Linked DNA regions of Neodiprion lecontei. The protein of the gene in region 1 purifies or fractionates together with the protein of each later gene. This does not show direct contact. Links are inferred from orthologs where the notes say so. Each region holds a gene or a part of one and is shown in the gene's direction. Other genes may lie near its edges.

Region 1 (5,433 bases):
GCCAAGTCTGACACGCCTTTTTCAGTAAATACGACATCTGGTTTCAAAACAATGATGTCATCGCAAATTTTCTTTACATGTTCCTCTTCCAGTTCTAATATCCTTGTGAAGTCTGTGTCCTTTAGAATCTCAACATTTGTTTGGGATTCACCCTTTTTGTACTCCAACGGACAATCCAACAATACAATTCTTGGATTCTTAATGTAGCGCTTCATTTTTGGGTGAGTTACATCTTTGTTAACCATAACACCCTTCAATACTGTACTATCTTCAATGCTGCCACCTGAAATCTTCTCTACTTTGGCATACCGTTTGATGTCTATCTCTCGTCTGCCATTTTCTTCAAGCATAATAGTGTGGACTGCATCCAAGGCAATGTCACAAGCTAGTTCTGCCCAGCGACCGATGAATTTAGTCCCAACACATGATTTGACTACTTGTGCTAGCTTTGTTCTATCATTCCGATCCAATTCAGTGCTGACTTCATCATTCAGAATGGTTATCATATCTTCTAAAGCCTGCCTGTATGCTCTGATTATTACTGTGGGATGCATGCCTTGTTCTAAAAACGGTTCAGCAGTAGCTAAGATCTCTCCAGCTAATACAATTACCGATGTTGTCCCATCTCCGACTTCTTCATCCTGGGTTCTCGCAATTTCAATCATCGATTTACCAGCTGGATGTTGAACTGTGATTTCCCGAAGAATGGCATTTCCATCATTGGTCATTACGATCCCACCCATTGGATCCATCAGCATTTTCAGCATAGCCTGAGGCCCAAGGCATGTTCTGATAACATCAGCGATAGCCTTTGGTAATAGAAAAATGATTGAATTTATGTCTTAAATGATCTCAGTTCTAAAGCGGACTGTATATTTGCAGAGGTTGAATCTGAAAAGATATTTGCATGTTTCTCAAGCTACACGTTTCAGAATTAACCTCTCAAATGTACTTATGAAATGATCAGTGTGAAAAGTTTACAATATTACTGTTGTTCTTAAATAATTGTAATGCCTGGGATTAGCGACTAATTTTGCAATCGTCGTGATCCTGAATTCGAAGCATCACTTGCTACATATCCATTTGATTTGTGTAAAATTTACTAGTATAACTATATTAAACAGTATAATCAAGAAAACGGTCATAATTATTGACCGTTAGATCAGGTTAGGTAGCGGGGAATTATTCGATTTCTATTTCATGCTGAAAATTGATGACGAAAATGCACGTGGGTGTGCCGACGAAGCAGGACCGTATAAGGAGAATTTACTGGTCATGTGTGTGGCGGGTGTGTTTGTACCTTGCCGGCTTGGATGTTTTCACGTTGAACTTTCTTGCCCGCATCTCGCTTTGTGTTTTGGCCTGCAATTATAAGAGACGGCATTATGCGTATGATAGCGTCGGGAAATTTTCCTAACAGTATAATAACAATTTCATTGTTTTTACACTCACTCAAAACCACAATAGGCGCTGACCCTGGACCAAACATTTTTCACTGCACACGCTGTTCGAACTTCCCAATAAATATTAAAGGCGGGCGTTCAGCTCAAGAATCTCGCGTGAGACGAACTGTTCTAGAAGAAACGTGGGTATGGTTTCAGTCATCGGATAAATCCTATGTAAGAAGAGCTAACGACCTCCCATCTGGTGTTCAAGCACGAAAGACTGGTACAAAAAAGTGAAATATCATCTGTCGTGTGTCTAACTATCCAGTCGATGAGGATCATCCGACAAGTCATATTTAAGTACGGATGCGTATTTATTCGAGATTTCAAATCTTTGACAATACGAGCACACATGATGACGCACATGATGCATACCAAAGAGGTTACAGGAATGCCCAAAATCGACTAACCGATAATCTTGCAATATGATTCGTAAAGTTTTCACTACAGTCATGTACTCCCCCCGCCCCGCCGCGCCTGGCGCAATACTCATAGAACACTAGTGCCCTCTTAATTTTGGAAACAATTTGTATACATGAAGTTCTTACTCCTTGTATAGTCTGCATGATGTATGCGGAGATTTAAAAATTCCAAAGGCATCTTTCGAATCGAACTATCGTATACTGAAAAAGTGAGAGGGAGCACATTTGACAGCTCATCAAATCGTTTGGCATAAAATGAATACTAGTCATTTAACGTGATTCATTATAAATGATTTGGTTTCATCACAATACTAATTCAATTAAACGATGACGGAAAAATTGAGGAGATATGAGAAAATTGATTTCTTGGGAGAAGGACAGGTTAGTTGGTATCATATGACACCATTTATCACGTTTTAGTTGCATTAGTAGTGATATTTTATAAATTTTTTTTTTTAATTTCAGTTTGCAACTGTGTATAAAGCTCGAGATACCGAGACCGACAGCATAGTAGCTGTGAAAAAGGTGATTTAGCAAAAAAATTACTTCTATCGGACAGGTTAACATATACAATAAATAATCATCCATCATTATTCTCCAGATCAAAGTCGGAAGCCGAGCAGAAGCCAAGGACGGAATTAATCGTACCGCCTTGCGAGAAATAAAACTCTTGCAAGAGCTTAAACACGATAATATCATTGGATTATTAGGCAAGTACTTGTTTGTTCAAATAATGTTTTTATACATCATTGAATGGCACCTATCTAATTTTTATTATAACAAATTTTCAGATGTCTTTGGTCATAAATCCAATGTGTCGTTGGTGTTTGATTTCATGGATACAGACTTGGAAGTTATAATAAAAGATAGTAACATTGTCTTAACATCAGCAAATGTGAAATCTTATATGATCCAAACCCTCCAAGGACTTGAGTATCTCCACTTCAATTGGATACTTCATAGAGACCTAAAACCCAACAATCTGCTTGTGAATAGTAGCGGCGTATTAAAAATAGGAGATTTTGGTCTCGCCAAGTTCTTTGGATCACCAAACAGAATATACACTCATCAAGTTGTTACTAGGTGGTACAGAGCACCAGAACTGCTGTATGGTGCTAGATTATATGGCACTGGCGTTGACATGTGGGCAATTGGTTGTATACTGGCTGAGTTACTGTTACGCCTCCCATTCCTCCCTGGAGAGTCAGATTTGGATCAACTAACGAGAATATTCCAGGTCCATATCATTATTCAAGTTCAGTCGAAAAATAGGGCGTTTTGATCTAAAGATACCAGTGATTCAATAAATCACATACTGTGGTTAAAAATACAACACAAATAAGTTTATGGTACAATCTTTCTTGTTGAAATATTTTTGCAGACGCTGGGTACACCAAGCGATGAAACATGGCCTGGAATGACGGATTTGCCAGATTTTATACAGTTCAAGCCATTTCCTGGTACTCCACTGAAGCATATCTTCACTGCGGCTGGAGACGATCTGTTAGATTTAATCACAAGTCTGTTAAACGTTAATCCATTGGAACGCTGTACTTGTGATCAAGCTCTACAGATGCCTTATTTTAGTAATAAACCACCACCAACGATTGGATCAAAATTGCCTCTTCCCATGACTATCAGGAAAGAACCAGAGGAAAAACCTAGTCTCAAGAGAAAATTGTTAGAATCCATGGATGGAGGATCACTAGCGAAGAGACTGCAATTCTAGCTATAAAAGATATTAGGTCTATGTGATACATTACATACTAAGGAACTCTTCTAGTTCGCCTAGTTTTGTGTTGCAAATATTCAAGGAAGTTCAAGAACTTTCACATATCCTTAAATTATAATTCATAGCTACTTCTCACATTCTTCAAAGCTATGAAACTTAGGAACAATATTGCTTTGCGTTTGTTGTAGATATTACAATAATTTACTGAACCAAAAATTCACGATTTTAGTTTGGTATTATGATGTTTGTGGTACTAGTAGAAAGTATTTGTATGTGTATGTTTAGTTTTCAATAGAGTCATTATTTCGTTAGTAACTTAAATCACTATTAAAAAATATGTTACCAGGCTGGTGACATGAAATTTAAAAAAATGTTTACACAAGTTTCCGTATGCATAATCTTCAGACAGCATTGCCACCTACATTTGGATACTTGTCATGTGGATGTACTGTGCATTTAGGGTAAACAACGTAAAACCAGCAGTATATGTGCTCTATATGAAACAACAATTACTGATAACTCGGCATAAACGTTTGTTTAAAACAACTATTAGTAATTACTGGGTGACTGTATGTAAGAAATTCAATTTGTGTTGAAGACTCAAACGATAGTCAACATCACGCTATTCCAAAGTCTAAATTAAAGAACATTTTATTTCAAATTTATACACCAAATTGATGTTATCAGCTCACTGAATTCCAATAATTCAAACAATTTTGAGACCGGCAATCGAATTCTCCAGTGTCTAAAACAGAATCGAAAAAAACTTGACCAACTGATACGGTATTTAAATATTTCAGATTAAAGGATCATAAATTAAAAGTGATACAATACCTTCAGATCCCAAATGACCAGTTGTCCGTCTAACCCACTTGTACTAAATTTGTCTTCTCGTAGTTTTCGTACACAAGTAATTGCATTCTGGTGAATACTATCCAGGGCAGTGTCTGTTGTTTCTATGCGTGCTTGGCGATCAAGCGATTGAAATTTTCGCATAGCCGAAAGTCCACCGGCTTCTTTTCTTTGAGTATTATCCAGTTTTGATGCAAAATATAATTGGCCATTATCATCCAAGGCGTAGAGCATAGGAGAACAACTATGTCCCTGAAAAATAAATATCAATTTTTTACTGTCTGCTGAAGGAAGTGAATTTTCTGACAGTTCTCTTAACCCTTTCAAAACGGTTATCCATCCCAATGGCAAGAGATTTCAAAAATTCATATGAACAGTTTCACTAATCCGATTTTTTTTTAAGGAATGTTTTTCGTCAACAGTTCCAATATCTATCTGAAAGAAAATATATTAAAGTCTGTCCTTCGTTTAAGTATATTTTCTCATCGGAAAAGTACAGCTAATTTTCGAATCTGTTTCTAATTTCATAGGCTATTGAAAATTGACTTTCTTTCTGAAGAACAAAAAATGAATGTTTCTAGCATAGTCATAAATGTCATGAATAAAAATATGTATAAGCTCAGCACCTATTAATGCAAAGTTGTAAACTTGAAAAACATTACATGTCCACTGTAATGGAAATCTGTATAACTTTCAATATGGATTTAGGAAAATTCTGTATGGATTATTATTGAAGAACTTAGTTGAGAGATACAAAATCGAAATACGCTGAAAAAAAAAATTTCTATTGCTGGATTTAATTTAGTTCTAAAAGAGTTAATTACAAAGTAATGAGTAAGCGTTTGGAACAAAAGTAAATAGGATTCAAGTCTGGTAAATATTTCATTATTATGGGCATTAGAGAAACCTATTAGAGTTCTTACTGCAGCCACGATGGAATTCGGCCCAACCCAAATGCAGCTTAAAAATGGAAGATGCTCTG
Region 2 (4,419 bases), on another chromosome or scaffold:
TCCGGCTGCTAGCTTTAGCCTTATAAACATATTGCATAATGAAATCATTCATACCTAGAGATATAAAACAATTTTACCTGAAAGTAAATTCATATAAATTACTTCAATCTTTGTTAATAGCTTTTATTCTACTGAATTAAGGATCCGGCGATGCATGCTTCTGTACCGCCGCCTCACTGTTGGTAACTTTATGAGGTACCGATGGGATCGTAACTTGTGCCAGCGGCATGCACGGCGAGCAAAGCATAGCTGACATCCAAGACGATATTGGCATCCACGGTCTATCGACTAATTGTCAGCTGCGAGGCGGGGCTGTTTTCTCCTGATCTGTACCTAGGTAGTTAGCTTCCACATCTTTAATCTCTATGTGCTGATCCTTCATAGCTTTCTGAAATTTGAAAGATGGAAAATCATTGGTTGCGAGAAAAAAGTACAGAGCTGAATTTGAAACTGAGGATTGATTAATCTTGAGGTTGACATAGTTTATCGAAGAGATTTCAAGTTTTCGTTTCTTTGCGTCCAACTCACCGCCACGCACTCTTTATAGACTTTGAGCAAGCTAGAGCACATCGAGTCGTTTCTATCGCCCTTGAGAAATTTTTCAGAGAACCAATAATTGAAACAAGCGTCGTATTTCTGTTTTAATTCACTGCATGCTTCCATGCTGACGTTCGGCTCAGTCTGGTCACGGTGACAAAAACCTATTTTGAAATAATAATAACTAAATAGTAATAAAATTACCTTTACGCACTGCTGGTAGACTTTGAACAAAGGAGCACACATGGAGTCGTTTGTTTCCCCTTTCAGGAATTTCTCAGCGAACCAGAAATGGAAACACGAGTCGTATTGCTTCTTGAACTCATTGCACGTCTCGCCAATACTGTTCATGAGGAGATCTGTGCTACTCGGACTATTTCTGAAAGCAGACCCAACCGACTCCAACACGGTACTTCCAAAGCCTTTGGCTTGCATTTTGCATTTGCTGATAGAGTATTGAATCGAATCCTTTAGAGTGAAATTACGTTTTTTACAATGTAAGTCAAAGGCTATCCTTGATAGATATTCGATATTTGGCTACAACAAATTTAGCGTTAGGTTATGCCAAATGCAAGCCACTAATTGAATATAGATGGTAATATTCATATACTCGAAAACTTGACAGATTTAATTTATTGACAAGTGCCGCAAACAAAACGAAAACAGCGTCTTTATGTCTTAAAATGACTGACGAGAATCAACATATTGAAAAATTTTAAGGTTAAAGTTTTCGAGACAGAATTTAACCTTAAATATTTTACATCATGATAATTGTAACAACTGAGACAACAGTGTTCTTTCATATAACGTTGAAGGGCCTGAATTTGAGGTTACGTTGTTCACTTTTCTTTGCGAACAGCCGAATGATTGCACGTAGGCATATTTTTTTATCAATACGGCGCAAAGACTTACCTGCGTTAATTGTTAATACGGAGCTAGATTGTCTCCTGGAACAATTTTATGTACTCTCTGATTGAATTAAAAACGCTCGTACGATGTGTCGTAAATACATAAAAAGCACCGTGGTTTTGATCGTAGAATCTGAACTGTCAAACGTCGAAGACAAGCTGAACGGACAGAGATTTTCACGAGGAGCGAATGAAGCAACTGAGTTAGTCGCGTCTGTAGCGTGCGTTAAAATATATTCAAGAATTCAGCCCATCGATTCTGCGTGCTCGACTTATCACGTTCGGAGTGATTGTGCCAGATTGTGCTGATTGTAGGGTCGAAATTTTCGGGTGCCTCGACTTTCGAGAGCCCGGCTCGTGTTTTTCATGTTTCCGAATGCTTCCGAATGTTTCCGATTAGTTTCAAAAACCAATTTCGTGTCAGATGGCGCCACGAAATTGTGTCTGCACAAAAAACGCAAAGGCTTCTCTTTGCACGTCGCGTGCGTTTTCCGGTTTTTGGTTTTGCGTCAAAAGATCCGGCGCTTTTGGGCGCTTTGGAGTATTGTTGACAAATAATGTACTTATATCTACCTACGTAATAATACCGTTCCTCAACGAGTCATTATATTTGCATACAGGGAGAAGTTTTCAGGAAAAATAAAGTCTGACATAAAATATAATCTTATCTTATGAAATGTGCGGTTAATAAAAATAGCTGCTGGGGTTAAGTTCACGTTGTTGTTTATGCTTACCCTCATTTATTCCTTGCTGGTTGAACAATAATCACTTGTCACAATGGACGACCAAATTTGTCCCCGTTGTAAAACGACCAAGTACAGAAATCCGTCGTTGAAGTTGATGGTAAACGTGTGTGGACACGCGTTATGCGAAAGTTGCGTCGATCTCTTGTTTTTGAAGGGTAATTATCGATGCTCACAGTTCCATTACATCGTTTTCCATTCTAACGCTTATTTACAAACATTCAAATACATGTTGTTATTATTTTCTCTTGTAGGCTCTGGCGCTTGTCCCGAATGTCAAATACCGTTGCGAAGAACAAATTTCAGGATCCAATTGTTCGAGGACTCGATGGTAGAAAAAGAGGTAGACATCCGCAAGAGAATACTCCGCGACTTCAACAAAAAAGAGGAGGACTTTACAACGCTGCGAGAGTACAACGATTACCTCGAGGAAATTGAAACGATAATATACAACCTGGCCAACAATATCGACGTAATAGAGACGAACAAGAGGATAGAGCAGTACAAGAAGGCGAACAAGGAACAAATTTTGAAAAGCAAGTCCAAGCTGGGCAGGGAGGAATACGAGCTTGAGGAATTGTTAGAGCTGGAAAAGCAGCAGGAGGAGGAGCGGAAATTGGAGTTGATAAAGCAGGAGGTTGAAATGAAGAAGAAAAAAATACGTGAGAAAGAGGCTCTCATCGACGAGCTAATGTTCTCAGAAGCGGACGCCGCGAACATTGTCGAGACGTTCGCGTCTACGATCCAGGCGACCAGAGAGGAAGCTAAGGTCGTGCCAGTCGCAAAAGTAACCCAATTCAGTACCGGAATAAAATTCGGCAGACAGGGTCAGCAGACATTCATGCCTGTACCGAAAGTCGAGGAAGGTCCTACCTACTGCTACAAGCGTATCGAGCAGGAAGTCGAAGGTCCGCATCCTCCTGGCTGGCAGGAAATGGAATCTGGCGGATATATCGCGCACGTCAGAAGCGAGAAGCCGGCCGAAAAAGCCGGAGGCTTTAAGTCGAACATTGCGTGTTTGAGAGCGCTTCAGGAAGCGATGGCTGGGCTGTACCACAATCCCTCGCAAAGACCTCCCGAGTCGATGGCAATCTGACCCTACGACTGGTCATAAATTGCCGACGGTCTCCCGTCAGTTTGTTAAAAACTCCTGACGATATCGACTGACTGCGATGAAAACTAGCTTATTATACCCAAATGGTGAACAGACACTCCCAGGCTCATGTAGTATCGTGTAAATAATATATTCGTGGGCTGCTTTCACAACGAATTATACATTTTGTACGGCTGTACCGCTTTCATTATATTGTAAGAAATTGTTGACAATTTAATGCTTAAAAAGATGAGGATGATAATAATAATAGTAATTATCGTTGGGTGGAAGAGTTTGTAAAAACAAAATAGAGGTATGCGATCGGTAGTTTGACGTTTATTTTCTTTGCACAATGAAAATATTAAAATAAACAGAGGCGGTAAATTAGCGAATAAGCGACGTTCCGACAAGTCAAGTGATTCGGATTCAAATCTGCCCTAGCCTCCCGGCATCGAAGTTGGTACGACGATTCGTTAACAGATGGCGCCAGCGCTGAGTGCCAATAAATTCGTGCTCGGCGGTTAAATCCGAAAGGCGCGGGGTATGTATAAGGGAAGAAATGTTACACACCGTTTATGCACGAGGTCGAGGAGTGTCGGCGGCGAAAAACACTTCGGTAGATTAATTTATTTGCATTTCATGAGTGCAGCGCACGCCTCGGACGTATTTATCGTCCGGAATCAACATTTTTACCGAATTCCAGCCGAGGTTCGCCGATCTTTGGATACAGCTTCGCGTAAATAAGGTAAGACAATTTTCAAATTTTGCGTGCAGCGGCTCCTTATTTCCCGACAAAAACTGAAGTTAGTAACGATTCATACCTCGTAATTTTAGAACTGTTTGAAATACAGTAAACCGTAATAAAACGTGACATGTACTGATATTTGCAATCATAGTTCCTTCGAAATCGTTTGTTAAAATAAGAAAACACTGATTTTTTTCTCAACGTTTCGTTACGATAACGTTGCTAACTTCAACCTCGTCTATTTTCTTATTTTCACAAGGGCAATCGATCGGTATGTTTTTTTGTTTTTTTTTTTATTACGGTTCACCGAATTTCAAACAATTTCAAGATGAAGAAGTAAGGATTCTTCCTCAACATGAATCGTTACTAACTTCAGCTAATCGTTTAGACGCC

What was found.
Region 2: the proteins of cyclin-dependent kinase 7 (region 1) and CDK-activating kinase assembly factor MAT1 purify together in Drosophila melanogaster (affinity purification with western blotting; 3 studies listed by BioGRID, with this or other methods). This does not show direct contact. The link is inferred for Neodiprion lecontei from reciprocal best matches to the Drosophila melanogaster genes Cdk7 and Mat1.

What each region holds. Positions count from the first base shown.
Region 1 is NC_060265.1:21,195,678-21,201,110, forward strand, and holds cyclin-dependent kinase 7, read left to right. Parts: upstream 1-2,053; 5' UTR 2,054-2,194; coding exon 2,195-2,248; intron 2,249-2,332; coding exon 2,333-2,392; intron 2,393-2,468; coding exon 2,469-2,577; intron 2,578-2,658; coding exon 2,659-3,104; intron 3,105-3,248; coding exon 3,249-3,596; 3' UTR 3,597-4,305; coding exon of another isoform or gene 4,306-4,344; 3' UTR 4,345-4,433; coding exon of another isoform or gene 4,434-4,703; 3' UTR 4,704-4,744; downstream 4,745-5,433. Other genes in the region: T-complex protein 1 subunit gamma, read right to left, coding at 1-809, 1,301-1,362, 1,453-1,489; actin-related protein 2/3 complex subunit 1A-B, read right to left, coding at 4,306-4,344, 4,434-4,703, 5,375-5,433.
Region 2 is NC_060264.1:1,837,555-1,841,973, forward strand, and holds CDK-activating kinase assembly factor MAT1, read left to right. Parts: upstream 1-1,812; 5' UTR 1,813-2,222; coding exon 2,223-2,346; intron 2,347-2,442; coding exon 2,443-3,284; 3' UTR 3,285-3,608; downstream 3,609-4,419. Other genes in the region: TP53-regulated inhibitor of apoptosis 1-like, read right to left, coding at 296-388, 742-972.